Linked DNA regions of Oryctolagus cuniculus. The protein of the gene in region 2 purifies or fractionates together with the protein of the main gene of each other region. This does not show direct contact. Links are inferred from orthologs where the notes say so. Each region holds a gene or a part of one and is shown on either strand. Other genes may lie near its edges. The genes, in order: ATXN2L, G3BP2, STAU1, IGF2BP3 and CAPRIN1.

The links.
Region 1: the proteins of G3BP2 (region 2) and ATXN2L purify together in Homo sapiens (affinity purification with mass spectrometry; 4 studies listed by BioGRID and IntAct, counting the BioPlex papers as one, with this or other methods). This does not show direct contact. The link is inferred for Oryctolagus cuniculus from reciprocal best matches to the Homo sapiens genes G3BP2 and ATXN2L.
Region 3: the proteins of G3BP2 (region 2) and STAU1 purify together in Homo sapiens (affinity purification with mass spectrometry; 3 studies listed by BioGRID and IntAct, with this or other methods). This does not show direct contact. The link is inferred for Oryctolagus cuniculus from reciprocal best matches to the Homo sapiens genes G3BP2 and STAU1.
Region 4: the proteins of G3BP2 (region 2) and IGF2BP3 purify together in Homo sapiens (affinity purification with mass spectrometry; 3 studies listed by BioGRID and IntAct, with this or other methods). This does not show direct contact. The link is inferred for Oryctolagus cuniculus from reciprocal best matches to the Homo sapiens genes G3BP2 and IGF2BP3.
Region 5: the proteins of G3BP2 (region 2) and CAPRIN1 purify together in Homo sapiens (affinity purification with mass spectrometry; 5 studies listed by BioGRID and IntAct, with this or other methods). This does not show direct contact. The link is inferred for Oryctolagus cuniculus from reciprocal best matches to the Homo sapiens genes G3BP2 and CAPRIN1.

What each region holds. Positions count from the first base shown.
Region 1 is NC_091450.1:7,680,663-7,686,233, reverse strand, and holds part of ATXN2L (ataxin-2-like protein), read right to left. Parts: intron 5,108-5,571; coding exon 4,907-5,107; intron 4,345-4,906; coding exon 4,169-4,344; intron 4,053-4,168; coding exon 3,942-4,052; intron 3,466-3,941; coding exon 3,253-3,465; intron 3,170-3,252; coding exon 3,098-3,169; intron 2,873-3,097; coding exon 2,802-2,872; intron 2,364-2,801; coding exon 2,068-2,363; intron 1,991-2,067; coding exon 1,921-1,990; intron 1,467-1,920; coding exon 1,323-1,466; intron 1,207-1,322; coding exon 1,134-1,206; intron 1,041-1,133; coding exon 853-1,040; intron 623-852; coding exon 490-622; intron 403-489; coding exon 281-402; intron 174-280; coding exon 1-173. UniProt on the Homo sapiens protein: Involved in the regulation of stress granule and P-body formation.
Region 2 is NC_091439.1:90,245,443-90,251,013, forward strand, and holds part of G3BP2 (ras GTPase-activating protein-binding protein 2), read left to right. Parts: intron 1-2,253; coding exon 2,254-2,335; intron 2,336-3,441; coding exon 3,442-3,615; intron 3,616-4,801; coding exon 4,802-4,892; intron 4,893-5,571.
Region 3 is NC_091442.1:11,269,290-11,275,468, reverse strand, and holds the start of STAU1 (double-stranded RNA-binding protein Staufen homolog 1), read right to left. Parts: upstream 3,396-6,179; 5' UTR 3,135-3,395; intron 1-3,134. UniProt on the Homo sapiens protein: Binds double-stranded RNA (regardless of the sequence) and tubulin.
Region 4 is NC_091447.1:15,443,354-15,449,411, forward strand, and holds the start of IGF2BP3 (insulin-like growth factor 2 mRNA-binding protein 3), read right to left. Parts: upstream 3,970-6,058; 5' UTR 3,738-3,969; coding exon 3,563-3,737; intron 3,339-3,562; exon of another isoform or gene 3,168-3,338; intron 2,688-3,167; coding exon 2,627-2,687; intron 1-2,626. UniProt on the Homo sapiens protein: RNA-binding factor that may recruit target transcripts to cytoplasmic protein-RNA complexes (mRNPs). This transcript 'caging' into mRNPs allows mRNA transport and transient storage.
Region 5 is NC_091432.1:31,909,724-31,915,900, forward strand, and holds the start of CAPRIN1 (caprin-1), read right to left. Parts: upstream 4,101-6,177; 5' UTR 3,775-4,100; intron 3,216-3,774; coding exon 3,000-3,215; intron 1-2,999. UniProt on the Homo sapiens protein: mRNA-binding protein that acts as a regulator of mRNAs transport, translation and/or stability, and which is involved in neurogenesis, synaptic plasticity in neurons and cell proliferation and migration in multiple cell types.

The DNA.
Region 1 (5,571 bases), on a different chromosome or scaffold from region 2:
TGCTGGTGGGGGTGGATGGCATACACAGCGGCTGGCTGGGGGAAGCTGCTCTGAGGGGACTGGGCAGAAGGTCCCGGTGGCAGAGAGGGCGGCGTGCCTGTCAGGGCCCCTGGGTGGTACAGATTCTGCTGTGGCTGTCCACTGCCCAGGTGTGGGGCCTGCCCCGCCTGATGCTGCAGGGGAAGGGAAGGTAAGTGCCACCCACTCCTCTGTCCAGGGCCAGCCATCCCCTGTCTAGCCCTCCCTTCTAACCACCCTCTCCTGCCCCTCCAGCAGGCACCTGGACAGGACTGGGGGCCGCATGCTGAGACTGCGGCTGGCTCCCAGTAGGCGTGGTTGCCGGCTGCGGCTGGTGGGCGTGGAGCTGCGTGGCATGGTGCGGATAGGACTGGTGAACAGTGGCTGCGGGACAAAGGGAGACCCTGTGCTGAGCACGCCAGAAGCGGCGAGGGCCACAGCCCAGAGCGGGGGAGGGCACACAGGACTCACCATAAAGGGCTTGGGGGGTGGGCTGCTCTGCAGAAGGGTACTGAGGGGTGGAGGATGACACAATGGCCTGGGGGTGGCTGCCCGACGTCAGCATGCGTGGATTGCTTTGAAGCATGGGGGCAAACACGGGCTGCTGGGACAAAGGCGGGGTCAGCATGGCGGGCAGGGGAGCACCGCGTGCACCAACCACACTGCCCGTTACTCCTGAACGTTCATAACAACCCGACCAGGCAGAGAAGCCTGAGGCTCAGGTGCCCAAGGCTGCCACCATCCCCACCCAGAACACCGCCTGTCCTCCTGACCCAGTCCCGGAGTGAGGAGCTGGGGGGCCCCCTCCCCGCTTCCCTCCTGGGCTGCAGTCACCTGTGAGGGGTAGTGGGCCATGGGTTGCATCATAGCAGGCTGGCCTGGGAACTGCTGGGGGTTGTAGGGGATGTAGGAAGAATATGGTGTGGCAGCCACCAGGGGTGGGCCGGCGGCGGCGGCAGCCTGCATCATGGGCGGGGCTGAGGCTGGCTGGTGCTGGTCCGAGCGCTGGGGGGGCAGAGAGCCTGCAGATGGGGGCAAAGTAGCACAGAGCTCAAGCTCCGTCTGCCAGGAGGCGCCAGGCGGCCCCGCCGACGGCCCCTCCAGACCCTGCTCACCTTTTGCTCCCCGGTACTTGCCCTGCTGCCCAGGCACTGAATTGGATACAGGATATGGATACATCTGGGGCGCCTAGGGACAGACACAGAAGCGCTGTGACAGGCCGGGAAAAGCCCAGAGGCTGAGCTGGCGGCTCAGCCAGCTCAACCAAAGCCAGCCCTCCCTGCTGAGGTGCCCCGGCCTCTTACCTGCACAGCTGGTCCCATGTGAATCTGAGGTATGTAGGAGATATACTGGGGGCTGTAGAGCCCGCTCTGGCCTGTCAGCACCGGGATGGAGGGAGTTGAGTGAGTCCGGGGCCCTGGAGAAGTTGGGGTACTGGTGGATTTGTTCTGTAACAGACAAGGAGCGACATATCATTTCTGTCTGACCTCCGCAACAGCTACACAGCACCCCCAGATGGCTATGAACCAAACGTGTTGTGTGCTTTTGCTAGGACAAGCTCCACGCCAAACCCTGTGAGATGCACATTCTCCACTCACAGGTGAGGAAAATGGGGCCGGTTTCATTGGCTTGTCCAACATCACACCTCTAAGTCAGCGGCTGGGCCAGGTCAGCTGGCCTGAATGAAGCTTATTATTTGCAGCTTCCCTGCTCAAATAACCCCTGAACCAAATGCCAGGAACCTGAGAAGCCCTGAGCGCGAGCTGCTCTCCCCATACAAATACGGTGTTCCCCCAGCACTGCCAGCTGAGTGGCCCTGGGACCAAGTGCTCTCCACTGCTCCACTGTCCCCCAAGACTCCCCCACAGAAACCCAAGTCCATGTTCTCCCGTCCCATCTCACCACAGATAGCAGAGGCTTTGTAGGATTGAATTCCTTGGCATTAGGGTTCAACGTTGATTTCTTTACTTGTCTAGGAGAGAAAATGAGGTCAATCCTCACGGCTTGCCCCTTATCACCCAACGTCCCCACAGCTCCCACCCCACTTACTCAGCAACAGGGCCCTCATCCTTGTCATCTCCCTTGATGAGGCCCACTGGGGGGCTGCCAGTTTGGCTTGGACAAGGTGGTGGGGGCTGTTCTGGCCCCTCGGTGCCTCCAGCTGGTACCAGGGGTGTTTTGTCCTCTTTATCCGATACGGACTCTGTCTTAGAGGAGACCGGGGATGCCAAGGGCTCTGAGGTCAACAGACCATCGACCTCCTTTTCCTTCCCTTTGGCTTCCTCCTTTAAGATCCGAGGAGGAAAAGGATCCAGGCTGGTCTCAGGGGAGCTACTGGGCTGAAGCTGGAAGGAGAGAGACACACACAGCAATGTCAAGACTCCAGGCCCTGCCTCCTTTCACCCCCGCACAATGCTCAGCTCTCCTCCCTTACCTACCTACCCACTTTTTAGAAAACTATTTTCATTTTATTTCAAACTCAGAGAAAAAGGAAAGAGAGATCAATCTTCTATGTGCTGGTTCATTCCCTAAAAGGCTGCAAAAGCCAGGGCTGGCCCAGGCTGAAGCTTGGCGCCCAGAACTCAATCCCGGTCTCCCCATGAGGGTGGCTAAGCCATCTGCTGCCTCCCAGGGCGTGCATTAGCAGGAAGCTGGGTCGCAAGCGGAGAAACTAAGACTTGAACCAGGCACTCCTCAACTGAAACTGCTGCCCAGTCCTCACTTCTCCATCCTCCACATACCCTGCGACCGCTAGCAATCCCAGCTCACTCCCCTGCCCTCACCTTGAACTGGGCCCCAAACTTCCTCAGTTCTTCCAGCTGAAATCGTTTCTGTTCATTCTGAAGGCCAGGGACTACGAGAAAACAGTGGAAAAGGAAAAACAATACATTTCTTTCTTGAAGCTGGCTACCCAGCGCCAACAGCCCAGGCAAGAAGACAGCAGCTCCCGAGAACCCGGAGAGAAATCGGAATCAAAGAGCAGAGTAGTGCTGCCTTCGGAATCCCAGCCAGCTTTCTAACGGAAATGCTCTCCCCGCACAAAGGGGCACCAGGCACCGGCAGGAACCAAACCTCTCACCTTTCCCAGTTATCCGGGCCAGTTCCTGGGGCTCCAGAGTCCGGCCGGGTTCCTTGGCGGACAGTTCTTTTACTGAGCAAGGAGAGATGCCTGAAGGTCACCCTGTCCAGAACCCCACTTCACACTGTCCACACCCTCCACCACCCCGCTCTTACCATCTGTAGGGGCCAGTGAGATCTTTGGAGAAGCTGGGGAAATGGAACCCACGCCACCATCTGCGACGGATGAGGTCACAGGGATGGAGGCTGAAGAAGTTGCCACTGCCGAACCGATGGGAGGCTCAGGACAGGAAGCTGAGATTGGGGCAGGTGCAGCAGACTTGGGCGAGCGTGGCGGGTACATCCGGCCCACTGGAAGAAAAGGGAGAGCTATACAATGGTTACTGCTGTGAGCACGGGGCTCACCAAGAACACCACGGAAGTGCACCTATGACTCCCAAGGAGCTAACAGAAGCAGGTAAATGGCCTCAGGAGAGACAGCAATGTTTCCAGGGCAGTAGTGATTCTATACCAGCCCATTAAGAGTAGGCTTGGGGTTGGTAGAACGGTTTATATTTCAAAAGGAATTGGAAAATTCCTATGGCATCTCGTTTTAAAATGTTGGCAAAATCTAAAAAACAAACAAACAAACAAACAAAAAAACCACAGCTGCCAGTCAGACACACCCTGAGTTCCTGGACTGGGGTTTCTGCAGTAGGACAACTGAAAAATTCTTTTCCAAAAGGGGTAAACGCCAACCCTTCAGACCCCTGCCACCCAGCCACGGCCCACTGCAGCACTCCGACACCACACACCTCCGTCCTGCTACTGCTTCTCAGCCACTCCCTAGCACTATGAAGTCTTACCTGCAGGGGGAGATGGGACAGAAGCTTCCCCAGAGGGCCTGCTGCTGGGCGAGGACAGAGTCTTGGCACCTCGCAGGGGCCGCTGTGCCTTAGGGGACATGCGGGAAGGGCCTGTATTTTTTTTAAATGAAAATTGTAAGTAAGAAAGCAGAGCCGCAGTTCCTACATTACCACCAATGCACCGCCCTTCCAATTACCACCACACCGAGCCTGCTTCCTGAACTCACCTCCGTTGATGCCTCGTGCCTCGGAGCCTGGGCCAGGGCTGCTGTTGTCCAGATGGTGAGGGCCACGAGGCGGCAGAGCGCTCAGGCCGGGCCGGCCACCCCGAGAGCTGCTGCAGCGCACTCCTCCCCGAGGCCCCTCGCGAACACGCTGAGGCAGAGGGATGTACTTCCCTTCCCTGGGCGAAAGAGCGCAGTCAGGCCAGGCAGCCACACGCAGACTTCCGAAACATGAAGCCTCTCTCCAAGCCCTCCCCAGCTAACCGCTCCAGCTTCCTTCACTGTCTCACTTGAATGTCCTACGACTTCCACGCTCATGACCCTCTCTTACACAACCCTGACCCAACCAACCCGGCCAGTGCACCACAAGTCTACCGCGCCTGACCTACGAGAAAGTAAGCTCACAGTACAGCTCGAGCTGCACCTTTTACAAGACACAGATCACAGAGAGTCTAGTTTAATTTAGTTACCTATAACACGTACAAACATACAGGGGAAAAAATGTATGCTAGAAACGGAAAAAGAATCCCCCACCCCTCCCAAATTCCTAAGCTTTAAGTTGTTACCTTCAGCATTACTTAATGTCTTTACGCTTCAGTCTCCTAAATCTAGAAACTGGAAATCACTGTTTTAACCTACAACTCACTAAGGCCTAAGGCTCAAACATTGTACAAAGCGCTCGGCCTGGGCCCTGGACCCTACAGTGAAGCCCAAACAGCCCTGCCCGCCCCCAGCATTTGCCTGGACGCCAAGCTGGGGCTCTCGCGCCCGGAACTCTGCCGTTGGACCGCACTGTGCTTCTCCTCTTCGGTGCGCCCATCGTCATTCTCCATGGCGATCCGCAGGCGGTACTGGGGGCTGGACTCAATCTCTCGTGCCAGCTGGGCTGCGCGCAGCTCCCGCTGACGGAACTCTTCAGAGTTGTCCTTTTCTAAGGGCACCCTGAGACCAGCAGCATCCCAGTGCCAAGGACAAACAGGGGAAAAGGAAAAACATTTTCATCAGTCCTATAACCAATCAAGCATTCCCTTCAACAAGCCAGCGAGCATTTAAACCAACATCTTACTGGGGCCCAGGCAGAGCTCCCAGGCATGTCTGCATCTGAGAGGCACTTAGATGCTTATGCATTTTGCTTTTTAAGTACGGTATTTATTCAACAGGGAGAGAAAGGGAGAGAAAAAGAGGGAGGGAAGAAGGGAGAGAGAGACCAACGTGCTCCTATCCACTACTTGGCTCCCCAAATGCCTGCAAAGGCCAGGGCTGGGCCAAGGCTGAAACCAGGAGCCCCATCCAGGTCCCCTGTGGGATGGCAGAAACCCAATGACTGAGCCATCACCACTGCCCCCAGGGTCTCCATCTGCAGGAAAAGACACCGAACTCAGGTTCTCCCAACGTGGGATGGGGCA
Region 2 (5,571 bases):
GTTAAATGATTATTCTTGTGAAAATTTTTATTCTCATCTGCAAAATAGTAATATTCCTTGGTAAAAAGGTGACAGTGGCCTTGTTTATTACCTTGACAAGAGTTCTTTAGGCCTACTTTTTTTGATATGGAAATGAAAAACTTCTATTGAGAGTATTACTGATTTTTCTTTTGGGTGTGCCTTAGCAATTAGAAGGTAATGAGCTTTTGTAAGAATTAGGTGGTTAAAATGACTAATTTGTTTTATCTGTATAAAGTTAGATTTTGCCATTTGCCCTGCACTATTAAGCATATGTATAATATTCTCTGTCTTACCTGGAAGAAGCTCTTGGCTCCTGCCTTCAGCCTGGCCCAATCCTGGCTGTTGCAACCATCTGGGGAGTGAACCAGTGGATGGAAGATATCTTTCTCTCCTCTCTCTCCTCTCTCCTTTCTCCTCTCTGAACTCTGACTTTTGGATAAATAAATAAATCTTTAAAAAAATATATTCTGTCTTAGTCCGAGAGATATTTTTATATTTACTCTTTGTTGTCCTTTTCTAAGTATTTTTATATAGGTATATCACCTCATGTAATCTTCATGACTATCTAGGAAGATGAAGGTACTTCTGTTATCTCACTATGCATATCCAACTGCTAAGCCTTTGATTAGTAAGGATAGTAGTAATTCATCCAAGATCACTCAGTAAATAAATGAATTGTTATAGTCATTATTCAATCCCACTTCTTTTTTTCTTTTTTTTTTTTTTTTCTTTTTTTTTTGACAGAGTGGACAGTGAGAGAGACAGAGAGAAAGGTCTTCCTTTGCCGTTGGTTCACCCTCCAGTGGCCGGCGCACCGCGCTGATCCGATGTCAGGAGCCAGGTACTTACCTGGTCTCCCATGGGGTGCAGGGCCCAAGTACTTGGGCCATCCTCCACTGCACTCCCTGGCCACAGCAGAGAGCTGGCCTGGAAGAGGGGCAACGGGGACAGAATCCAGTGCCCCAACCGGGACTGGAATCCGGTGTGCCGGCGCCGCTAGGCGGAGGATTAGCCTAGTGAGCCGCGGCGCTGGCCGATCCATTTTCGATTAACTTTATACACAGGAGACCAACTCTATACTAAGTAAAGAGTTCAACAATTTGCATGGTTTAAAAAAAAAAAAACTGCTCTTCAACAGTCAAGACAAAGGGTTCAAAGTCATTACATCTTGAAGTTAATTTCACTTTTTTTTTTTTTAGAAACTTAATTAACTTTAAGGAAGCATCTAAGAATGATACATCTTTAGGAAGTACTTAGTCATGGTTATAATACAACTCTTTGAGGACAGAGGTCCTGCATGAGAAGTTAGTGCACAGTGACTCTTGTTATTAATTTAATAATTAACACTCTTAAGTGACATCAGTGACCATCTGAGGCTCTTGACATGAGCTGCCTAGGCTATGGTAGCCTTTTGAGTCCACAAACTTCGTCAATATTTAGAAAAGGCCATAAGCACAGTGGAAGTTCCCTCTTAACTTCAGAGAAAAGTACCTCCTTTGATGACCTCTTCTTTGCATTGGGGCCTCACCCACAGAGGTCCTTCATGTAGGACATTTTTTGCCTCAGTGTCTTGGCTTTCCATCTTACTTGTTTTATTACAATAGGTGCTGAACTCTATGAAAACATGAACATTGTATCTTTGATAACCTTAATTTAAAAAGATGTTAATTCTAATTGCTAAGTTTAGGTAATGTCAGAGAAAGACTATAATTTATCATATATTTAAGGGCGGTATAAAAATATTAACAAAAATTAAATTCTAAAGTAGTTGTTGATTTTTTTTTACTTGGTCTCTGAATTTGTTATTTTAAATATAACTTTTAATATAAGCCTTTTGAATTAATAACCATTTGAAGCTCTGGAGAGTGTTTGGGGAATTATTTGGGAACAACTGATTACCGAATGAATTTAGATAAGTGCATTTTTATATCAGAAAAAAATCTATAAAAGATGTGGTAAGAATTAGATGAGAATAGCTAATGATTATTAGATATGCTAAGCATTCTATGTGTGTTACACTCATTTAATCCTTAAAACAATCACATGAAAACAGTTAATGTTCTGGTTTTGTAACCAAGGAAACTGAACTTAGAGTTAAGTAACTTGCTCAACATTCAACAACTAGTGACATAGCTGGGCCTGGAGCCTAATCTGTTTGATATGTGGACCTTTTACCTCCTAGGCTTCTCTTGAGAATTCAGCATTAATCTTCAATTATTGATGGTTTTGCAGGTTTTATGGCAGGAATTCCTCCTATGTTCATGGTGGTGTAGATGCTAGTGGGAAGCCCCAGGAAGCGGTTTATGGCCAGAATGTAAGTACTGTGTCATAAGGATTTAGATTTTTGTTTTTGTACGTTAAGATAGATTTCAAAAGTAGCCTTCTTGTGCCCATGGATTTTTTTTTTTTTTTTCAATTTGATCAGTTGTAACTGGAATTTATATATCAGTAGTTATCTAGAGTGCTCTTGGTTCTTAAACATTCAATTTTTGGTAAACTGTGATACTACATTGAGATGGATACAGTGGAGAAGATGGGATGTTTTATATCCTTATTTTTTTTTTTTAAAGATTTCTTTATTTGAAAGTCAGAGTCACACTGAAAGAGAAGGAGAGGCAGAGAGACAGAGAGAGAGAGAGGTCTTCCATCCGCTGGCTCACTCCCCAATTGGTCGCAATGGCCAGAGCTGTGCAGATCCAAAGCCAGGAGCCTCTTCTGGGTCTCCCACGCGGGTCTAGGGGCCCAAGGACTTGGGCCATCTTCTACTGCTTTCCCAGGCCATATCAGGGGGCTGGATTGGAAGTGGAGCAGTTGGGACTTGAACTGGCGCCCATATGGAATGGCGGCATTGCAGGTGGCATCTTTATCCACTATGCCACAGTGCTGGCCCCATCCTTGGTATCTCTTATATGTGGAATACTTACGACAGTTTATTAAGTTTATATATATATCTGTGGTTTAAACTCTATGTTATAGGAATGCACGGAAATATTTGCTTCTTAGGACTTGAAAGGAAACCTTTGGAGAGATGTGGGACTTGACTTTACCAAACAAGAATAAATTGGAAAAAAATGCCATCAGCATGTACCAAAGTAAAGTAAAATTAAGTGTGAGGTCAAGGAGCAGTCAGTACAGTCTGTGAGGAGAGCTAAATGTTTATCAAAGAAAAATAGGAGAAAGCTGTAGAAAGCACAACAGGGAACTGTTGTGATATCTTACATAGAGAGGTGACATGTTGAAAATGGTGATTTAGAAATACCAGTCTGGCGGTGGTGCATAATAGCATAATGGGAAATGGATTCAAATGAAACAGATTAAGTTGTTAACATGTTAGAGTTCAGAGGCAATCAGTGAGGGCAAGTATACAGCATTGTGTAGGTAATGAGTAATCACATTTCCCCCCCCCCCTTCCTTATAAAGGATATACACCACAAAGTGTTATCTTTGAACTTCAGTGAATGTCACACTAAGATTCGTCATGTGGATGCTCATGCAACCTTGAGTGATGGAGTAGTTGTCCAGGTCATGGGTTTGCTGTCTAACAGTGGACAGCCAGAGAGGAAGTTCATGCAGACCTTTGTTCTGGCTCCTGAAGTAAGTTTCTGTTTTCTCTTAGCTTTCATTTATATAATTTAATTTGGCTCATATACTTGGTTGAATTGTCTAAGAGTTTCTTCTAATAGGCTTAGGTTTGCTTTTTTTTTTTTTTTTTTTTTTTTTTTTTTTTTTTTTTGGGACAGGCAGAGTGGATAGTGAGAGAGAGAGACAGAGAGAAAGGTCTTCCTTTTTGCCATTGGTTCACCCTCCAATGGCCGTCACGGCTGGCGCGCTGCGGCCAGTGCACCACGCTGATCCAAAGGCAGGAGCCAGGTGCTTCTCCTGGTCTCCCATGGGGTGCAGGGCCCAAACACTTGGGCCATCCTCCACTGCCTTCCCGGGCCACAGCAGAGAGCTAGCCTGGAAGAGGGGCAACCAGGAAAGAATCGGGCGCCCCAACCGTGACTGGAACCTGGTGTGCCGGCGCCGCTAGGTGGAGGATTAGGATTAGCCTATTGAGCCGCGCCGCCGGCACATATTGTTATTTTTAAAGAAGTTTTTTTGGGTCTGTTAAAATTTATTTGAGTTTGTATACATGTGTGCCTTGACTACTTGGGATTAAATCAGATAGTGATACAAGTGTGTAAATGAATGTTTAATTACAGCAATAATCAACAATAATACAGAAGGTATATTTGTATGTCTCAAAAGTTACTTTTTAAAGACTTATTTATTTATTTATTTATTTGAAAGGCAGAACCACAGAGGGAAGGACAGAGAGTAAGAGGTCTTCCAGCCACTGGTTCATTCCCCAGATGGTTGCAACTGCTGCAACTCTGTCATGCCCAGGAGCCTGGGGCTTCCTCCAGTTCTACACGATTCTGGGGGCCCAAGGACTTAGGCTATCTTCTACTGCTTTTCTAGGTGCATTTGCAGAGAGCTGGATTGGAAGTGGAGCAGCCAGGGATTGAACCAGTTGCCCATATGTATGGGATGCTGGCATTGGCAGGTGGCTGCTTTATTGGCTACCACCACAGCACTGGCTCTTTTCTGTTGAATATTCATTTTGTGAGGTCTGATGATCCTTGAATGAACTTTTTAGAGTTTACTTTATATTAACATCATAACATGATCTGCTCTGGAAAATTATATTGATTGCAGAATATTTATTAAGGAAATTATGTATGCCATGTAATTTGTTCTTTAGACATTTATGGATTATTTGCATGTTATTTTCCTATAGGGATCTGTTCCAAATAAGTTTTATGTTCACAATGACATGTTTCGTTATGAAGATGAAGTATTTGGTGATTCTGAACCAGAACTTGATGAAGGTGAGGTTACTTTGTTGATAGAAGGGCTCTACCAGTACTTTTAAGGACACTTTGATTTCTATAAGACTTAGAGAAATTTGCATCTACTTTTTTTTTTTTTTTTTAAAGATTATTTATTTGAAAGAGTTGCACAGAGAAAGAAGGAGAGAGAGAGAGGGGTCTTCCATCCGCTGGTTCACTCCCCAGTTGGCTGCAATGGCCAGAGCTGTGCTGATTCAGAACCAGGAGCCAGGAGCTTCTTCCCAGTCTCCCACATGGGTCTAGGGGCCCAAGGACTTGGGCCCTCTTCTACTGCTTTCCCAGGCTATTGCAGACAGCTGGATTGGAGTGGAGCAGCTGGGATTCAAACTGGTGCCCATACGGGATGCCAGCACTGGAGGCTGCAGCTAAGCCATGGCGCCCACTCCAATTTGCATCTATTTTAATTGAATCAACCTCCTTTACTCCTTATTTTTCTCTTTGTTACAAAAGGTATAGATGTTCATTATATGAAGTTACATAAAAAGCAGACATAGGAAGTGAAAAATTTTCTTCCATCAGTCTCATCCATGTTTGGTGCTAACTACAGAGTTGTTTTGGATCCTGTACTTAAAATTTTTATAGAAATGCTGACTCAAATCTTTTTTGCCCTTAATATATCCTTGTTGGCTGTCCATTTGGTGGCTTTGCCATAATTATT
Region 3 (6,179 bases), on a different chromosome or scaffold from region 2:
TTCTAAACTTAAAATAATCTGTGTATAAGTGGGTTTTCTGGCTGAATCTTAAAAGACAGCAATTTATCCTGAAGCAGCTATTTATGGTAACAGTTCTAAACACTTAAAAGTTTTACTGGTAAGCCTGATAGGAAGCACTAAGCACTGTTTAAAAAATAAATGTTGTGTCCTCCCCTAGATACTCAACAGATTTTTCCTCAGATTAATTTTAATTTCCAAATCTCCCAGGCTGTAGTAACTAAAATATAATATATAACGTTTCCACTGTACCCCTGATCAAGCTTCAATGAAAACCCACAAGAATGAAATAACAATGTTACAAGTCAAACTAGAAACTGTTCAGGACAGAAATTTGAAAATTACGTAACAATAGCAAATATTTATAATACTTCTAGGAGAGATCTCCTTTTAAACAAGAAAAATATGAACACTTATTTTGATTTCACACTAGTCACAAAACTTAAGATTCCACTCATAATTACTAACAATGTGCTGTTTGTAAATAGAGCAGATGGGGACTCTGGAAAACAATTCTACAAAGATTCTGAAATCAAACATCCTTCGCTTAATACTTACTGAGACGGCATTTATTTACACAACCAGCTAAAGAAACTTTGGGAAGCTTCATGGTGCATTACTGTGGTTTAACTTTGACACAAAGCTCCTGCCTATTTAAAGGGGCCTAGCAGGTAGGTCTCCACCAACAAAGGGATAGGAAATCTGTCTTTCTGATGGCTCTTCAATTAGTCTTTCATGGCTCAAGAGTTACTTTTGCACACAGAGAAGCAAGGCCACATTTGGGATTTGACTTTGAGAGCGGGACAGCACTGATCAAAACTAGCTCAGCTGCTAGTCTTTTCCCCACTGCACAGTAACCAAGTAATCTGTTCAGAGATGAGAAGCCAAGCAAACAAAATGACAACTGATTCTTTTAAAAGCACATTTTAGGAGCATTCTGGTAAAAGTCAAAATCTCTAACACTGTGATACGATGTTTAAGATTTGCTTCAAAACAATACAGTTTGGGGGAGGAGGTACAAGACTGCTCTTAACTGTAAGTTAATCATTGTCAGAGCTGGGGCTCTCACACTGGAGCCGGGGTTGCCTGCCCCTCGGCCGAGGGCCAAGGAGGCAGCACATGATGGAGCACGCAGTCCCCGACACCCACGTGGCAGCCTGGCCCAGGCCCAGCTGTGCGTGCGGCACCTGCGGAGTGAACCAGCGGATGGAAGCTATTTTTTTAAAAAAAACTGCCGAAGTTGAGCGACAAACACAATACCTAAGTCGTCTAGTCAATTTTCATGTATTTTCCACAGTGAAAAGTTTAAAAACAGCTTTATGTTACCCACTGCAATATTAAAACTTCCCTAGCACAACTTACCACAAGGTAGCAGAAAACATGCTTTTTACTGTTTGCAGAGTTGTCTGTTTAGCTGTTTTTAAAACGTCAAATTTTAAATCAGAAGCAATGTGACACTGTGTCAGAAAATTCTAGAAAAACCTAACAAGGAAGCCACTTTGCATTGAGAGATGTAAATCAAAACATTTTCATTTCTCTAAGGAAACGGACTAAGACAAGCCGAGGTCTAGGCGGACGTCTGCGGCGCGCACACTCCGTTTTCTCTGTCCTAACTCGAAGCTGAGCACCTCGGCGGCCGCAGCTCCCCAAGGACCGGCACAGCCGCACCACGCAGCCCAGCATTAGCAGAACTCGGTGCGCCCGTCCCCAGACGGCCAAACCGCTGCCTCCACACCCCGGCTGTATTTTTAGTTTCTGCTTCAACAAGTAGCAACGTAAGCAGAGGTCCCTTCCTGCAAAACCGTACTTCGACTCCGTCCGCCCGCTTCTAAACAAAAACACGCGCAGCACGGCAGCGCGACCCCAAAGCCCTCCGCACGGCCAGAGAACAGGGGCAGGCGGCTGGGACGCGCATCTGCGCGCGAACAGCCGAGAGCCTGCACCCACGCCGACGCGGCAAGGCAGGGGCACGGCCCCGACCCCGAGGACAGGCACGCTCGCCCAGCGCCGTCCGTCCACCGCCCTCGGCCCCGAGGACAGGCACGCTCGCCCAGCGCCGTCTGTCCACCGCCCGCGGCCCCGGCCCCGAGGACAGGCACGCTCGCCCAGCGCCGTCCGTCCACCGCCCCCGGCCCCGGCCCGAGGACAGGCACGCTCGCCCAGCGCCGTCCGTCCACCGCCCCCGGCCCCGACCCCGGCCCGAGGACAGGCACGCTCGCCCAGCGCCGTCCGTCCACCGCCCCCGGCCCCGGCCCGAGGACAGGCACGCTCGCCCAGCGCCGTCCGTCCACCGCCCCCGGCCCCGGCCCCGGCCCGAGGACAAGCACGTCGCCCGGCGCAGGGGCAGCGGCTGCCAGCAACTTTCCTAGAGGCGGGACGACCACGGGGAAGGCGGACCCGCGGCTGGCGCGCAGGGGGTCCGGCCCGGGCTCGCCCCCTTCCAGCCCTGAGCCCAAAACAATGCCCCCGGCGCCGGCGGGGGCCACGCCGAACACCGCTGCCTCCCCCACTCGCGCACGGGCAGCGAGGCAGCTAGGTAGGTCAACTTCTGTCCACTCGCCCCACTAAATTACACCTTCCTATCACGCCAATCAATCATGCAGGCGGTTTATTGGGGACACGCTGTGGGTCTGGCGCTCCGATAAGCGCTTCACACGCCCCATTTCCCCGAACCTCCGCAGCCAGAAAGCGGCAGGACGGTCTCGGCGCCCCTCTCCCCAGCCCACACAAAGAGTTGAAGGGGCCGCGCCGGGGCCGGACACCTGGGCCGTGCCCGCCGCACGACGCGGACGCTCCGGACCCCGAGGGCTGGAGAGGGGACACCACCAGCCCGGCAGGAACTTCGCTGTCCCCGCGCGCCCGCCCAGCGCAGGGCGCCAGGCACCTGTTCCCGGCCCCGGCGAGAAAGCGGCGGCGGGGCTGGGGGCGCCGGAGGACCCGCCTCTCCCCCACCCCGGGCAGGCCCCGCGGGCGGGACGCAGGCCCGGGCCGGGGGGAGGAGGCCGGCGCGCGGCCCGCCGAGGCCTAGGCCCCACCCGCCGCCCGCCGCCCGCCGCCCCCCGCCCCGTGGCCGCCGCGCCCGCGCGGGCCCCGCCGCGCTCGGCCGGCCGCCTCACCTGGCTGCTGCCCTCAGCTCGCCCCTCGGCCGGCGGTCCTGGGCGGCGGCGGCGGCAGTGGTGGCGGCGACGAGGGGAAGGAGGAAGGAAGAGGGAGAGGAGGAAGGGACGGCGGGTGGGAAGAGGCGGAGTGGCTGCGGAGGAGGCGGGCGCCGCCGCCGGGCCGGGGGGTCCAAGAAGCGGGGAAGCCGAGAGAAGAAGCGACGGCGGCCGGCGCAAACGCTGAGGAGCCGCTCCGGCGCCCGCAGCCCGGCAGGAAGTGACGGGGGAGGGGCCGGCGCCCGCCCCCGGCCCCCGCCCGCCTCCAGGCCCGGCCCCACCCCCACCCGCGGCCCAAACCACAAGTCCCGGCGGGCGCTGCGGCGGGGCCGGCGCCCGCAAGGCACACCGGGAGCCGGCAGGCGGGGCCTGGTCGCGGCGAGGTGGCCGCCGCCCGCCCTGGGCCAGCGGCCTGCTGGGAGTTGTAGTTCTGCCGGGCCCCGAGCGGGAAGGCGGAGCGCGTGCCTTCTGGCCTCCCGCACTTCCTTCTTCCTTCTCTCAGTCCGTCCTCTCGTCTCGCAGGTGTCGTTCCCTTCGCTCCCGCCCTCAGGGCCTCCTTCCTCCGCCATGTGCGAGGCGCTGCCCCGAGAGCTAAGAACGGAACGGACAAACGCCCGTGCCCTCATGGAGCTTACGTTCCAGTGCGGATAAAAGGCGCGAATAAAATCATTAACTTGCTAGGTGCACTGAAAGGCAAGATAGGGGCCGGCGCCGAGGGGAGCGGTCAGGCACCTGCGATGGCAGACTCTCTCCTTCAAATAAATAAAGCTTAAAAAAACAAACGAAAAGATGATGTGGCTGTGCGCGTTAGGACCCCAGGGCTCCGCCTATCACTTCCAGGCCGACTTTCTTCTGTTTCCGTACACTGACAGCAAGTGCCCACTCTAACAGAAACAGCAGTGTAATTTTAGATGAGAGCCAACTTTTCACGGGGACTTTATGCGCTCTGCCCATTCCTATATAACTTATCTTGCGGGAAGGAGCAGGCAGAATTTGGAGTAACATCTCCAGTGCTCAGTTTCTTATTTCCATCTTCATCCTGAAACAAAGAAAAATAATTCCTTAATTACTTGGCAACAGCCCAGAAGACTTGAGGCCTTTGGGAAAAAAGATGTGACTGCCAGTCCCTAAGTACAAAAAGAAAAACACGTCTAAGGCTCCCCTCCCACACCCAGCAGCCCCACGACGAACCTGTGCCTTGGTTAACACAGTGGTCCTCAAATGAGCGCTGTGGAGTGACTGTTCGCGCTGTTTTCCTCTTCTTCCTCTCTGTCTTTGGTTTTGTTAGTTTTTAACGGCTGAACAATTTCAACACATAGTAACCTGGCTTTGTGACCTCTCTCCAAAAATGAGGTGGCCAGGCAGCATCGGAGAGCAACAGTCCAGCCACACTTGGGCTCCCACAGCCCACATCAGGGGGCCTGGGTTCGAGTCAGCTCTGCTCCTGCTCTACCTCCCAGCTAACGCACCGCGGGTCATAGCTCCAGCACCTGCGTCTTTACCACCCAGCTGGGAAACCCAGGTGGACTTCCTGGTTCCCGGCTTCAGCCTGGCTGTTGTGGGCATTTGTGGAGTAAACCAGCAAAAGAAGAATCTCTCTCTCCCTCTCCCTCTCTCTCTCTCTCTCTCTCTCTTTCTCTCTCTCTCTTCCTCGATAAAATGAAAACAAAAACATTTTTAAATTTTGGGGGATGCAGCTAACACAATACTTAGAGGGAAAGTTGTAGCAATTAACGTTTAATTTAGAAGAGCAGAAAGTCTCAAATCAATTATGTTTCCACCTTAAGAAACCAGAAAGGGCGGGTGTTAGAGCGGAGCTGGTAAAGTCACCACCTGCAACACCTGCATACCATATGGGCGCTGGTTTGTGTCCAGCAGCTCCACTTCTCATCAATCTCATTGGTAATGGCCTGGGAAAGCAGCAGAGGATGGCCCCTGACACCCACCTGGGAGACCCAGAAGAAGCCCCTGGCTGCTGCCTTTGGCCTGGCCAGCCCTGGCCGTTGTGGCCATCTGGGAACTGAAGCAGCTGATGGAAGATCCCTCTCTCTCTGTCCCGCTCTCTCTCTACCTCTGACTTGCAAAAACAATAGTAAATCTTAAAAAAAAAAAAAAAAACTAGAAGATCAAATTAAACCAAAGCAAACAAAAGGAAATAATAAAGAAAAGATATTAATGAAATTGGGAGCAGAAAAACAATAGAAAAAATTCATCAAATGAAGTTATCTCTTTGGGGAAAATCAATAAAATTGGCCAGAAAAAAATCCAGAAAAGCTTTGACAAGTGCAGAACACGTGGGTGTTTGTTAACCGACAGGGTGCTTCTGTGTTCCACAGGTCTGCAATGATAGGAGTGAAGTGGCACCGTATCTGCCTCTGGACAGAAGACTGAGGTGGGGAACCTGCTTTGTGAATCAGCGAGTTATGCTGCCATCCCACCAGCTGCTCCACTTCCCGTCCAGCTCCCTGCTGATGCACCTGGGAAAGCATCCAAGGGTGGCCCAAGTGTTTGGGCCCCTGCCAATCACGGGAGACCCGGATGGAGGTCCACGCTCCTGGCTTCAGCCTGGCCCAGCGCTAGTCACTGAGGCCATTTAGGGAGTGAACCAACAGATAGAAAATCTCTTTCTCTCTTTCTCTCACTCTGCTTTTCAAATAAAATAAATATTAAAAAAAAAAAAAAAAGGAAGAAGAATGGAGGAGGGGAAAAGAACTTTCATTGAGGCACCTTTCAGTAATTTTTAAATAAATAAATTTTTAGGGGCAACACTCTGGCGTGGCGGGTAAAGCTGCCGGCTGCAGTGCCAGCATCCCATATGGGCGCCAGTTCAAGTCCCAGCTGCTCCACTTCCGATCCAGCTCTCTGCTATGGCCTGGGAAAGCAGTAGAAGATGCCTCAAGTCCTTGGGTCCCTGCACCCACGTGGGAGACCAGGATGAAGCTCCTGGCTCCTGGCTTCACATCAGCACAGTTCCGGCCACTGCGGCCAATTGAGGAGTGAACCAGA
Region 4 (6,058 bases), on a different chromosome or scaffold from region 2:
GCCCACAACACAACAACATCACATCAGTGCTATTTATAAAATCACACAGGAGCAAATGCCCACAAATCACCAGCGGCCGTTCCCACCAAACTCAGCTACAACCTTTCAAAGTCACAACTACTTCCACACTCACCCAGACCTCCAAGGAAGAAGGAAAAAAGAGGCAAGCTTATACCTTGGGGGTGAAGTCTTCATCTGCCGTAGCCTTGGTATGTGGGACACAAAGCACGCCACCATCTCTCACCGGCGGAATCCTTCCTCCACTGTGGACGTGGGGATCTCAAGCCCTCTTAGAGACTGATACAATCTTCCCAAACTGAGGGGCATCTGAATGCTGAAAAGCCACATTCCTTCCACATTCCCTTGAGACTTCGGTCAGGAGAGAAGTAATCTCGGGGAGCTAAGCTGGATCTCAAGCAAACTCAACAATGCCCTCCCCCACCACCACCCACACCACCAGCTTGGCTCAAAATCAGAGCTAGACCAGCCTCCCAAGCATCCAACTGCCTCCTGGGCCTGCGCCCTGCTCGGGTGCTGAAGCCCATTCATCCATCTCAGAGACCAGCCATAAGCATGCTCCAGCACTAGGCTCCCAAGATGCCTTGCACAGCAGGTAGAAAGGTCACGGCTGTACATGTGGGCATGCTGGCCTCATGTGCACACAATGACAGACGGGAATGAAGGGCTGCCAAGCATAAAGAAGTCCGGCCAGCTTGCTTGGCACGCAGCAGTCTGTGACACTCAAGCCACTCTCACTGCTCCACCGCTGTGTGCCACTGCTCAGCTTTGCCACAGTACTGGGCGTGGGCTTGTCAGGGAAGCCTTCTCTGCCCTCTCCCGGGAGCCTGTGCAGGCGGTGGAACAGCCCAGAAACAGAGGACTGCACTACAGCTCCAAGGGTCACGGGAACCAAATCGTACTATAAATTTCCAGTAAATTTCCTGGATTCTCCTATTTAAGACATTTTAATACAAGCAAAGCATTTACAGCCCTTGATTGTTCTCTCAAATTAGTGCATAAAAAAGTTTCCACTGTATTCACCCCTTCACTCTGCTAGTGACACAGTATAATGCTAGTGAAAATTCACCTTGTTTACAACCTTGACAAACTTCCACAGAGACACTTGCTGCCTCTGGAAACGTTGTATCTAATGTGCTAAGAGGAACTACCGCCCATTACAAAGTAACAAGCATGTTCAGGGCTAGGCAAAAAAAAAAACCTTTAAAACAAGCAGTTGTTACCAGAAGATGTTTCTCAATCCCCTACAAGTGAGAAGAAATTCACAACAGTTGGAAACAAAAAGCAAGAGGGTGAAGCCATCATATATTTGCATGTAGGTTAATCCAATCTACCTGAAAACAAGACACTAAGTATTTACATTTAAAACTCTCCACTGTTAAAATGCCAGTCCTTAAAGCATTACCATTTTCTTACTTTTAATTCAACATTTGATGAAAACTAAGACAGTGCTTAAACTCTGAAATCATTTAGAATTTGCAGGTGTAGAGGTGTGTGTGTGTGTGTGTATTTAGGTTCACAATTCACATGCTAGACGTATACATTTCTTTTTAGAGGGATAAGACTTCTCCTTTCTTCAAGTCCCGTTCAATTAACATCAACTGAGACTTTTCAGTACAAATTCTATTATTTTACAGGTTTTTAAAAATAATTTCATGTAATTAAACATAATTCCCAACTACAACTAAATCTAATCGGTTACTCCCTTTCCTACGTATCCTAACGAAAATTCAGCGCCTAAAACCAGAGACCTCCACGTAAAACCAAGCCGACTCATTCCTAGAAACGAGACTCAGTTTGCAAACGCTTTACCCGGAAGGCAGCTGGTTGTAGAAGCAGGGGCGGCCGGACGCCGGCGCGCGTCCGCACAGCGAACCGTGCGGCCCCCAGCTCGCTCTCCCCGACGCCAGGCCGCACGTACGCAGGCCCCGGGGCGCGGCAGCCTGGAGCTCCTTGTCAGGCCCCGGCAAGGAGTGGGGCGGTGGGAAGCAGGAGCCCCAGGGCCACCCTGCAAGAACCCAGCGCCACACACAGGATTACAGAGCCCGATCCGGCCTGGTCTGGAAAACACTTCAGAGGCTCGAGGAGTCTGCACAACGCTGCCCCAAAAAAGGCACGCTACGCACGTTCTCGGAGAAATCCTCCTGCAGAGCTAGCACCCACCTCCCCGTCTCACCACCCTGGGGCTCAGCTGAAAGCAAAGAGAGACCCAGGAAAAAGGGGGCAGGGGGCGTGGGGGCGCAGAGGGAGACAAAGGCACGGTCGGCAAAGACCTGTGTGAGTCTGGAGGGGCCGAGAGAGGCTCCGCTGGGCCGGGAAGCCCAGGCTTCGGGACGGGACCCAAGCGCGGCCGGCGCGCCAGCAGGGTAGGGGCGAGCTCCGGCCTCGCGCCCCGGCTCCCGGGCAGGCCCACCGCACCTGGGCCGGCCGCAGCCTCCCGCGCCCTGCGGCACCACCTAGACCTGCTATGCCCAGAGCGTCCTCCGAGAGACCCCCTTCCTCGCCAGCACAATGGCCAAGAGCCCGGGGCGGGGTGCGGGGAAAGGGTTTGCGCTCGGTGGAGTCTGGGCTCCCAACAATGGGGCGAGAAAAGAATAAAGACGCTCACCTCTGCCGTTTTGGGACCGAGTGCTCAACTTCGATGGGCTTCCCGTGCAGTTCCGTTTTACCTGCGGACACACGAGACATGAGACTGTCGGGTCGCCGGAGCCCCGAGCCCCACACACCCTGGGCGGCGCCACCGGCCGCCCCGAGGCCTCGGCGCCGCCGCTACGCTGGTGGGCAGCGGGCCCCTCGGGAAGTGGGGGCCCCTCGGGTGGCAGCCAGGCACCGGGTCTCTCCGGCCTCTCCAGGACCCTCCCCCACAGGGCCGACTCGGGGGAGAGGGCGCCCAGTCCTGTTCTCTGGTCCCAGCCCAGGCCCTCCGGGAACCGTTGGCGCCGGAGCCGGGGCCGGCCGGACGTGCGGCCGAGCACAGGGCGAGCCGAGCGCCCACAGCCAGGCTGAGTCGGTAGGAGGAGAAGCCCTAAGACTCAGGGCTCTCGGAGGGAACCAGCGCAACCTTGCCGCCCCAGGCCTCGTCGCCCCGCGCGCCCCGGACCAGCGCGCGCGCCCCGCCAGTCCCGGAGGCCGCCGCCGCCCGAGCCCACCTGCCCCCGGCGCGCGTCGGACGGGGCGAGGTGGAGCCGGGGCGGCGCGGGACCGCCCGTGCAAGGCACCAGCCCCGCGGCCTCCCTAGGCAGCCCGTGTCCGGGATACCGTGCGCTCCCTTAGGCCGAGAGGCAGCCGGGTCCAGGCCACGAGTTAGCGAGCAGAGGTTAGCCCGCAGGGAGCAGCAGGGCGAGCAGGCGCCCGCGCCCGGCCCGGGCCCGGCGTGGCGGGGCCTGGAGCGCGCGCCCGCCGCGGCCCCGCGCCCCTCCGTGCCCGCGCGGGGCTTTCTTGACAGCGCGTCCGGCCCGGGCCCTTGGACCCCCGCGCCGCGCGCTGAGTGCCCGGCCTGGGGTCCCGTGGCGCCTCCGGGCGCGGCGGCCAGGCCGGGGCCCACCTGAGAGCGCCTCGATGGCCTTGAGGGCCCAGCCGTCGTCCGGGCAGTCCACGAAGGCGTAGCCCGCCTTCACCAGGAAGGGCCCCGACACCGGGATCTGGGCGTCCTTGAAGATACTTTCGAGGTCCGCGGGCGCCGCGTCCTCGCCCAGGTTCCCGATGTACAGTTTGTTCATCGCGAAAGGGGGCGGCTCGGAAACAGGAACACAGCGCGGGGTGGGGTGGGGGGACGAAAAAATGAAAAACACGGCAGCGGCGAGGGCCAGGTCCCGCAGGTCCGCGCGCGCCGAGCCCGGGTCCGGGGGGCGCGGGGTGCCCCTTCCCGGGCGCTGCAACCGAGAGCGAGGAGAGAGAAAGCCCAGCCCCAGCCCGGGCGCATCCACGAGTCTTCCCAACTCCGAGGAGGAGGAGGAGGAGGAGGAGGCAGAGGCGGAGGCGGGACCAGCCCGCGCGGGGGGAGGGGCGGGGGAGGAAACTACTTGGCGCCCCCCCCACCCCCGGCCCGGCCCGGCCCCGCCGCGCGGCGAAAATAGCGCCCGGCGCGGGGCCCGGCGCAGCGCCGCCCCACCAGGCCCCCGCAGCGCGGCGGGCACGCGGGAGGGGCGCGGGCGGGCGCAGGAATCCACGGCGAGGGCCCGGCTTTTTGAATGAGCCACGTGTTCAAGCTACAAATCAACGTCTCACGTGAGGAATCCCGGCGCCTCAATTAGAGTGGGTTTCGGAGGAGAGGAGGCAGAGAGCGAGAGGCGGTGGGGGTGGGGGTGGGGGTGGGGGTGGGGTGGGGGCGGGGCGGCGTGGGGGAGGGGCGCGGCCGGGGTGGCGGGGGACGGGGGGCGCCGCCGAGTTTGCCCGGGGGCCGGCGGGGCGGGAGCGAGGGGTGGGGGGAGGCCGGGGCATTGATTTTATTTTCCAGGGTGCAGGGGTTGGGGTTGCTTGCTGGGCAGTTCCCCGGCTCTCGGAACCGCAGTTTTTAATTATTCGATTTTTTTCCTTTTTTTTTTTTTTTTTTTTTTTGCAAATAGGTGATGAACGACCAAGGCCGAGAGTCACCGTCCCCAACTCGCCTGGCTGCCTGGAAGACGCCGGAGGTGCGGGCCGGGGCCTGTCCCCACCCCGCCCCGCCCCCCGGCGGCGGGGACCGGACGCGGCGAGGGGCGGGGGGCCGAGCCCCGCGCCCCCGGAGCCGGCGGGGGAGGGGCGCGGCGTCCGGGGCGGGCGTCTGCGCGACACCTCCTCCGCCTGCGCTCGCGGTGGCTCTCGGCTTCGCGATTGCCATTGGCTGCGCGGCTCGGAAAAGGCTCCGGGATAAATGAGGCCGGGGGCGGGCCCGGCCGCCGGTGGGGGAGGGGCGGCCTGCGGGAGACCCCCCCCCCCCACCGCGATCTCGGGGCGGCGAGGCGGGTTGGCACTTTTATGGAGACGATTTCAGTTGGAGAACTTGGGAGCCGTGCGGGGGAAGACCGCCCCGCGCCAGTCCTGGGTGGCAGCCTCACTTGCAAAATGGCCCGAGCCGCTCCCTGCCGCCTCGGTGCGCGCCTTCGGCGGGGCGAGCCCTGCGCCTCTCGCCGGCCTGGGGCGAGCACAATGGTGGGAGTGGGGGAGGGCCTCGGGCGGGGAGCCTGCGAGGGTCTTTCGGGTGCACCGGAGCCCTGGGATGGGCTCGTAGCAGACAGTCCAGGGGAGAGATGGAAAACGCTCGTCTTTAAAGTGAATGAAATCCTACGCAGCGCGGGAACAGGCACTGGGATCTTTAATGACTCGGTGTTCTCGGCGGCAGGAAAATGTGTTGTGAATAGAGAAGGTATCGCAATGTAGCTGCAAACATCTTCGGTAACTCACGGCCGGTGCCGTTGGCTACTCTTCGACCACATTATATACTGTGTGGCATTGAAAAGTGTTTCCCAATAAAGCGTGACCGGGACCTGATATTTTTTTTTTTTTTTGGAAGCACTGGAATTCTTGCATTGTGTTTACGTTTCGTCTCTTAAAAGGAACTTACTTTATGATTTTATGTTAAGTAACCGGAAGGTGTCAGATCATCCATTTTAAAAGCAGCTGTGTCTTCTAACAGGTTTTCCTCTCCTGCCAAGCAAATCCAACTTTGTAAACACGCTTTCACAATAATTTCATTCAGGTTTAATTCAGCAAAACGTTCTTACTTTGTGCTGTGGGAGAGGAAAACGCCCTTGTGGAGCTGTTATGAGCTTTATCTGGGAAGAACATTTTAATGGTGAAATTCCTCTGAATTTACAACTAGCTTTAAGTTTTCAAAGCTCTTGTTCTTTTCACCCTTTTTTTAAAAAGTTCTGAAAAGATTTTGATGACTTTTGGTATGCAAAATTCAAAGAATTAATCCTTAAGTACTTGTTGCATGTGATCAAAACCTGAAATGCGTTTCATTTACTATTTGCTTTTATAAATACCACTAAATGTTGTAGCCTGTTGGCCATTTATCTTTTAATTTTTCCTAAGAACAAGCTCTACTTATATATTCAGC
Region 5 (6,177 bases), on a different chromosome or scaffold from region 2:
AACTAGGGAGTAAATAACTCAATTCAGTATTACTTAATCATTTAAGATTTATAAATGGGAGTTTTATACTTGATTCTCTTTATCACCACTGTATTCTCTGCTACTTGTTCATGCAGTCTTTATAAGCCCAAATTTTTAAAACCAAGTCAGTGAGTTGCATTACATAATAGGATCATATTTCATCAACATTAAGCATGCATTCTCTCCAAACAGATGCTCAGCTTTCCTCACATTAGGAAAGGAATAATTTTGTTTTTTAAACAAAGTACAATAAATTTATTATAATTCTCTATGCCTTGACATGATACTACATATCCATTGAGTAAATTATATCAGGGTACTTGATGTTAGAATCCACAGGGGGAAGAAAGGATATTTTGGTACAGAAGGTTCCAATATGAATAGGTCATGACTGAAATACAAGTCAAATATGTTACTAATGGGCTGATACAAAAATAAGTCCAGTTGTAAATGCTATCTTACTTTATTCCATTAAGGTTCCTAAAAAGGAATTCAAAACTGATTTGTAATGCAAGTTCTATTTCAGGTACATTAGAAATACTCCTATTGAATCACTGTAAATCCTCTCATAGAGCCAAAACAGCTAGATATTAAGAAAAAGAAATTTAAACTAAAAACCGGATGTGTTTAAATTAGGGGAAAATGAGTATGCCTGAATTTTGCAAAAAAGTAAAATACAGTTTTAGTTACAATAACGACTATTTAACCAATCAGTACTCAGGCTTTGGCTTATGAAGACGCCTCACTTAACTGTAACTTGACTTTCTTGCTATCTAGCACCCAAAACTCTGAAATGGCAGGAAAAATATGCAAAATATATTTGTTACTTTGTGCAATTTGTTAAATCTCTATCATTACAAGGCAATCTCAGTATTTATAAACTCAGTCAACAACCTCTGTAATAATTACATTACTCTGTCTCCCATAATTTGGAGGGAGGGGATGTGAGTGTATACACACCTTGTACACATGGGGGAAACCTTTCATGGTTCAAGTCCTCACCGGGCTTAAAAACAAAATTTCTGTTTTTCAGATGTACCTGAACACCAGAATGTAAGTCACTTCACAACTAAGCTGGCGATTTATCAGTGCCTTACTTCATATTTGTCTTTTAAGAATTATTCTTCAGTCATTAACATAAATGTCTATACTGAAAATATGTCATTAACATTTATGGTCTGATTCCTATCTTAAAAAAAGATTTCCAAGAAATTCTGAAAATTAAGGCATTCAAGCATCAGCCAGATTGACAGGACTGTGTATTACACTGAGAAGACTTTAAGACACCAAAGTTAAACTCATTTTCAAATAGGATAGCATAAAATTAAATTCCATGGGCAACACTCAAGGTACTAGCCTTGGGCATGCTTGTTTTAGTCTACATTTGAACGTAGCTATACAGATAGGCCTATTATTCCGTTCACTAATAATAAAATACATTTACTTCCCCCCCCAAAAAAACAAACCTAGACATCCTAAGATTGTTTCATTTCTCAATTTCAAATAAAGTCCTTGAAATGCCAAGTAAAATTTCCAACCTTTATTACTTAAGGAGAGACAGTTTGTTTTAAAATCCCCCTCAAAAAGTAAAATAAGTCAGTAAATAAGCCATTATAAGCATTTAAGCTCAAATTTTTGCCATACATTCACACTGTCTCAACACCTTAAGTAACACTATAAGGTGAACGGCTAACTAAGCAATTTTAAATATCCTCAAAAATGCGAGTTGTTATCACGAATAGGTGGTACCGGGGGCGGACAAGTAAAGTTATGCTGTAAAAGGGAGTGAGCATTAACAGCCACCGATGTAACTGCTCCATTTTTTCCACGACGATTTTGCTTCTTCCTTTCCACCTCCAACCTTCCCTTGCGAGCCCCTCTCCATCCACACGCACACACCCCTGCTAAGCAGAGTTGGGACACTGTCCTGCGCAGAGAGCAGAAAACAAAAGGCCGCCTGGAAGGCAGCCCTCCGGAGTGGACCAGAATGACCAAACGCTGAATCCAAAACCAGTGGGTGTGGCTCGATTACTTTTGGAGGGGGGGGCGCGAGAGGCCAGTCCGGCGGCTGCCGGCCTCGGCCCTCCCCCTCTGCTTTCGCTTTGTGCTCACAATGCAGCTCCAGTACAGCGCTGCCCTCCCCCCGCAGCCGCCGCCATGTTAGACTCTCTCCATGTGCCCGGAGACCCAGCGAACGCCCGGAGGCCGAGCCGGACCCACCCCCCCAGGCCAGCCTCCGCCGTGGCGGTGCCCCAGCCCCTCCTCAGTCCCCGGGAGCGGAGAGTCGCTGCGGGAAGTCCTCCCACGATCCGGCTGCGCGTGAGGCCCGGGGGACACCCAGACAATTGAAACAAAGAGGGAAACGTGGGGGAGCCCGGTGGCTGGGGGCGGAGGGCAGCGCACGCACGGCCGAGGCCCGCTCAGAACGGGCCGCACGGAAACACGGGCCATTCTGCTCTGAGATGCGGAACACGCTTCTCCCCGAGGAGGAAGAGGGGACGGTCAGCAGGCCGGAGCACACGGGAACGGAGCGGACAACCCCGGGGCTGTGCGACACGGGCCGCCCCAACTCCACGAGGCAGGCGGTTGAGCCCGGAGCCCCCCGCCCCGGCACTTCCTCGGCCTTCCCCGCTGGCCCTGGTCCAAGGAGCCGGGCCTCGTCGGATGGGGGCCAAGGGCATCACACAGTTGCGAGGCGGCGGCAGGCCCCCGCCCGCACACTCGCCAAGCCCGAAGGCCAGGAAGCCCGAGTCGCACGCAGACCCCGGGGCCGCAGCGCGTCCGGGTCAGGTGACAGGCACCTCCCCCAGGAGCCCGCTTTCCGGCACGAAGCTCCCGCTGACCACGGAGACTGGGCGTGGGGGCCCGGGACCCAGGAAAGCGGCAGGAAGTGCAGCTCCAGCGGCTGGGGGCGGGGGTGGGGGGGCGCGCAGAGCCCGGCCGCAGCAGACCCTCCCTCTCCCGCCGGGTCCTGGCACCTTTTTCTTCTCCAGGTTCCGAAGTTTCTTGTCGATCACCCCGAGAATCTGCTTCATGGCCTCGGTCTGGACGGCGCCGGTGCCGGTTGCGGGGTGCTGAGAGGCCGGCGCAGCGGCCCCGGCCCCCGCCGCCGCCTCACTCCCTGAGGAACCCGACGGCGGTGGCGGTCCGGACGACTTGCTGCCGCTTCCGCTGTGGCTGGTGGCCGAGGGCATCTTCAGACCGTGCAGGGAGAGAAGAAAAAGCGGGAGGAAGGACAAGAGCGGCCAAGTCAGAAGACGGACGGGGCGAGACGCGGGACAAAACGCGCAGCCGGCGGGAGCCTGCGCGAGCGGGTGGGGGAGGGGGCGCGCGCGCACGACGCCGGGGCAGGAAGAGAGCGCGGGCGCGCGCGCGCGACCCGCCAGCGGGGCGCCCGGCCGGCCTCGCGCCGCCCCCCGCCCCCCCCTCCCCCGCGCGAGCCGCCGCTCGGCCTACCCGCCCCGGGGCACCGAGGCTCGCGCCGGGGGCGGGGCCTCGCCGCGCCGGCCGCCAACGGCCAGTGCAACGGTCCCCACCGGGCGGGCCGGGACGCGCCGCCTTCCGAGGAGGGGAGGGGAGACGGAGGTCAGGGGTGGGGGGGGCGGGTAGAGAAGGGCACTGGAAATGGCTGGGGGTGGGGAGGACTGGAGGAGCAAGCCCCTCGCGAAGCTCCCGCCGATGCGGAGGTAAAGGACACTCTTCGCAGCGGCCCTCTTCCCCTTGAGCGCCTCCGCGGTCCGGGCTGGCGCTCACCGTGCGCGCGTGGAGGCCGCTGGAGATCCCGAGTGGGCAGCTGAGGGGGACAAAGGGTGGCAAGTGCGTTCCGGGCAGTGTCGCGCGCTCCGTGGGCGCAGGCCGCTCCGCCCTGTGCCCGCTGCACCGAGAGCCGCTCCTAGTGAGGCGAGAGCCGGCAGCGGGAGGGACTAAGCCAGCCAGCCAGCCCTCTAGGGCGCGGGGGGCGGGAGACGTGCGAGCGGGGCCTTCCTCGGCCGCTGGGGCTGCCCGGCGCGAACGCCTGCCCGGAAGCGCCGGCCCGGCCGCCTCCCCTAAGAGCCCCAGCACCTGCGCTGGCGGGGGTGACCCCTGGGCCCAGGGCGGGGCGGCCCTGGGAGGCCGCGGTGGCGCCGCTTTGGCATTTGGAGCGAAATGGAAGCTAGGGTCCTTCAGGCGAAGTCGCCTGGCGTCCAAACGGGGACAATAGGTGTCAAGCAGCTGGCTCCGGAGCTGGCGACTGCCCTAGGAAGAGCCCTTATTTGGTGGGGGTGGGGGTTGAGGGGGGGGGGCAGAGGTTTCTGCAAGTAAGGGGTGCGTGGGGTGGGTGCTGCAATCTCAGCTTCCAGTATTCCCGAATACAGAGCAAGCAAACTCGCGCACCTCAAAAGGTGTTTTCAAAACAGACGCCAGACCCTTTTCTCCAGTCACCCGGTAACCTAGGAGTTCCCTGTGGAACGCGCCGGGAATGGGCATGACCCATGGCATTTTGAGCCTTAGGACTCCACGCGCACGCGAAACTTGATCTTCAGCTACCCTAGCATGAAATGTATCCGGTAGACCCGAGTATTGGGAATTATTCGGCTTTTTTTCCCCCTTTGTGTCAGCCTAAAACAAAAAGTTGAATGAAATTTTAAAAATCCAAGAGGATTATTCCAGCCTTGGGGTGGGGTGGGTGTGGGCAGTGAGCAGAAAATAAGTAGCCAAGCGCTGGAAGCAGTGTATTAAAGGGAATATGATCAGTGGGAAATTCCGCATCATAATGTTGTAGGACAACAGTAAAGGACCAATCTATGATTCAAATTCCATGCGGACGGGATGTAGAAGAGGGTTCCAGCGGACCCACTGTTCCCTGGGGACTTCAGTGAGTAACACTGGCTGGCCAGCGGTGCTTCCTGGGGCAGCCTCTGGTCTCAAGATACTCCCCTTAGCTGCAAAGTGTTATCTATTCCTTCAAATATTTATTGAGCACCCGCCTGCATGCCGGAAGTGTCAGTGCTCGGGATTGGGAACATAAATATCTTCATGGAACTCAGTTTCTTGAGTAGCGAAAAACAAGTAAATATATGTCAAATAGAGTATTGGAGGAGAAAACAAATTTTGTAAAGGGGCGGGGGGGGGGGTGCTGTCAGGAAAAGCCTACTGAGTAACATTTGAGCCAAGACCAGAGGAGGTGAGGTAGAAGGCCAAGCAGCTTCATTGGAGGAAGAATTTTCCAGGTAGGGGAACACCAAACACTGAGCTGGAGTGTGTTTGGTGGATTCAAGGCAAGGAGGTCCGAGTGCCACAGCACAGAGTGAAGGTGAAAGACCTAAAAGGGAGCCAGTCTTACAGGGGCCGATAGCGGACGTAGACTTTGGCATTCGGTGAGTGCAATGAGGAGTCATCATTTCAAACAGGGGGGTGTCAACCAGTGTTTGAAATCACTCTTACTACTGTGTGAAGAATTTACAGTATGTGTGTTTTGGTAGTGAAAGTGAGGGTGGAGCAAGAGCAGAAGCTAGGAGACCAGTTAGGAATCTATTGAAATAGCTCAGCCCACATGTGGTAGCCAGGGCAGGGTGTAGCAGAGAAGGTGGTGATAAGAGGTTGCATTCCTTATACCCGATGTGCTAACCAGTTATATGTTAGGTGTGAGGGAAATTGAAATTGGCCTTAGGTTATTCAAGATTTAAGTACCTAAACTATTCTTGGCACTGTGATGAACAATTATGCTAGACCTAGAGGCTAGAAAGTAAGATTATAATCCTTGGCTTCCTGCAATCAAGTATATTCAGCCCAACCCAGACCTACTGAAGGAACCTGCATTTTAACAAGATCTGCAGGTGTGTATATACATTACAGTTTGAAAAATCACCTCATTGGAACTTGACCTGTCAGTGTCTTTGAGATGGTACATGAAATACCCTTTTGGTATACCAGAGCTATAGAATCAGACTCCTGAAGTGGAGCCCAAGTCTTTTTTTTTTTTTTTTTTTTTAAGTTTATTTCTTTGAGAGGCAGAAACAGAGAGAGAGAGAGAGGTCTTCCATCCGCTGGTTCACTCCCCAAATGGCCACAATGGCCAGAGCTGAGTGGATTCAAAGCCAGGAGCCAGGAGCTTCTTACAAGTCTCCCAAGTGGGTGTGGGGTCTCAAGCACTTGGGCCATCTACTGCTTTCCCAG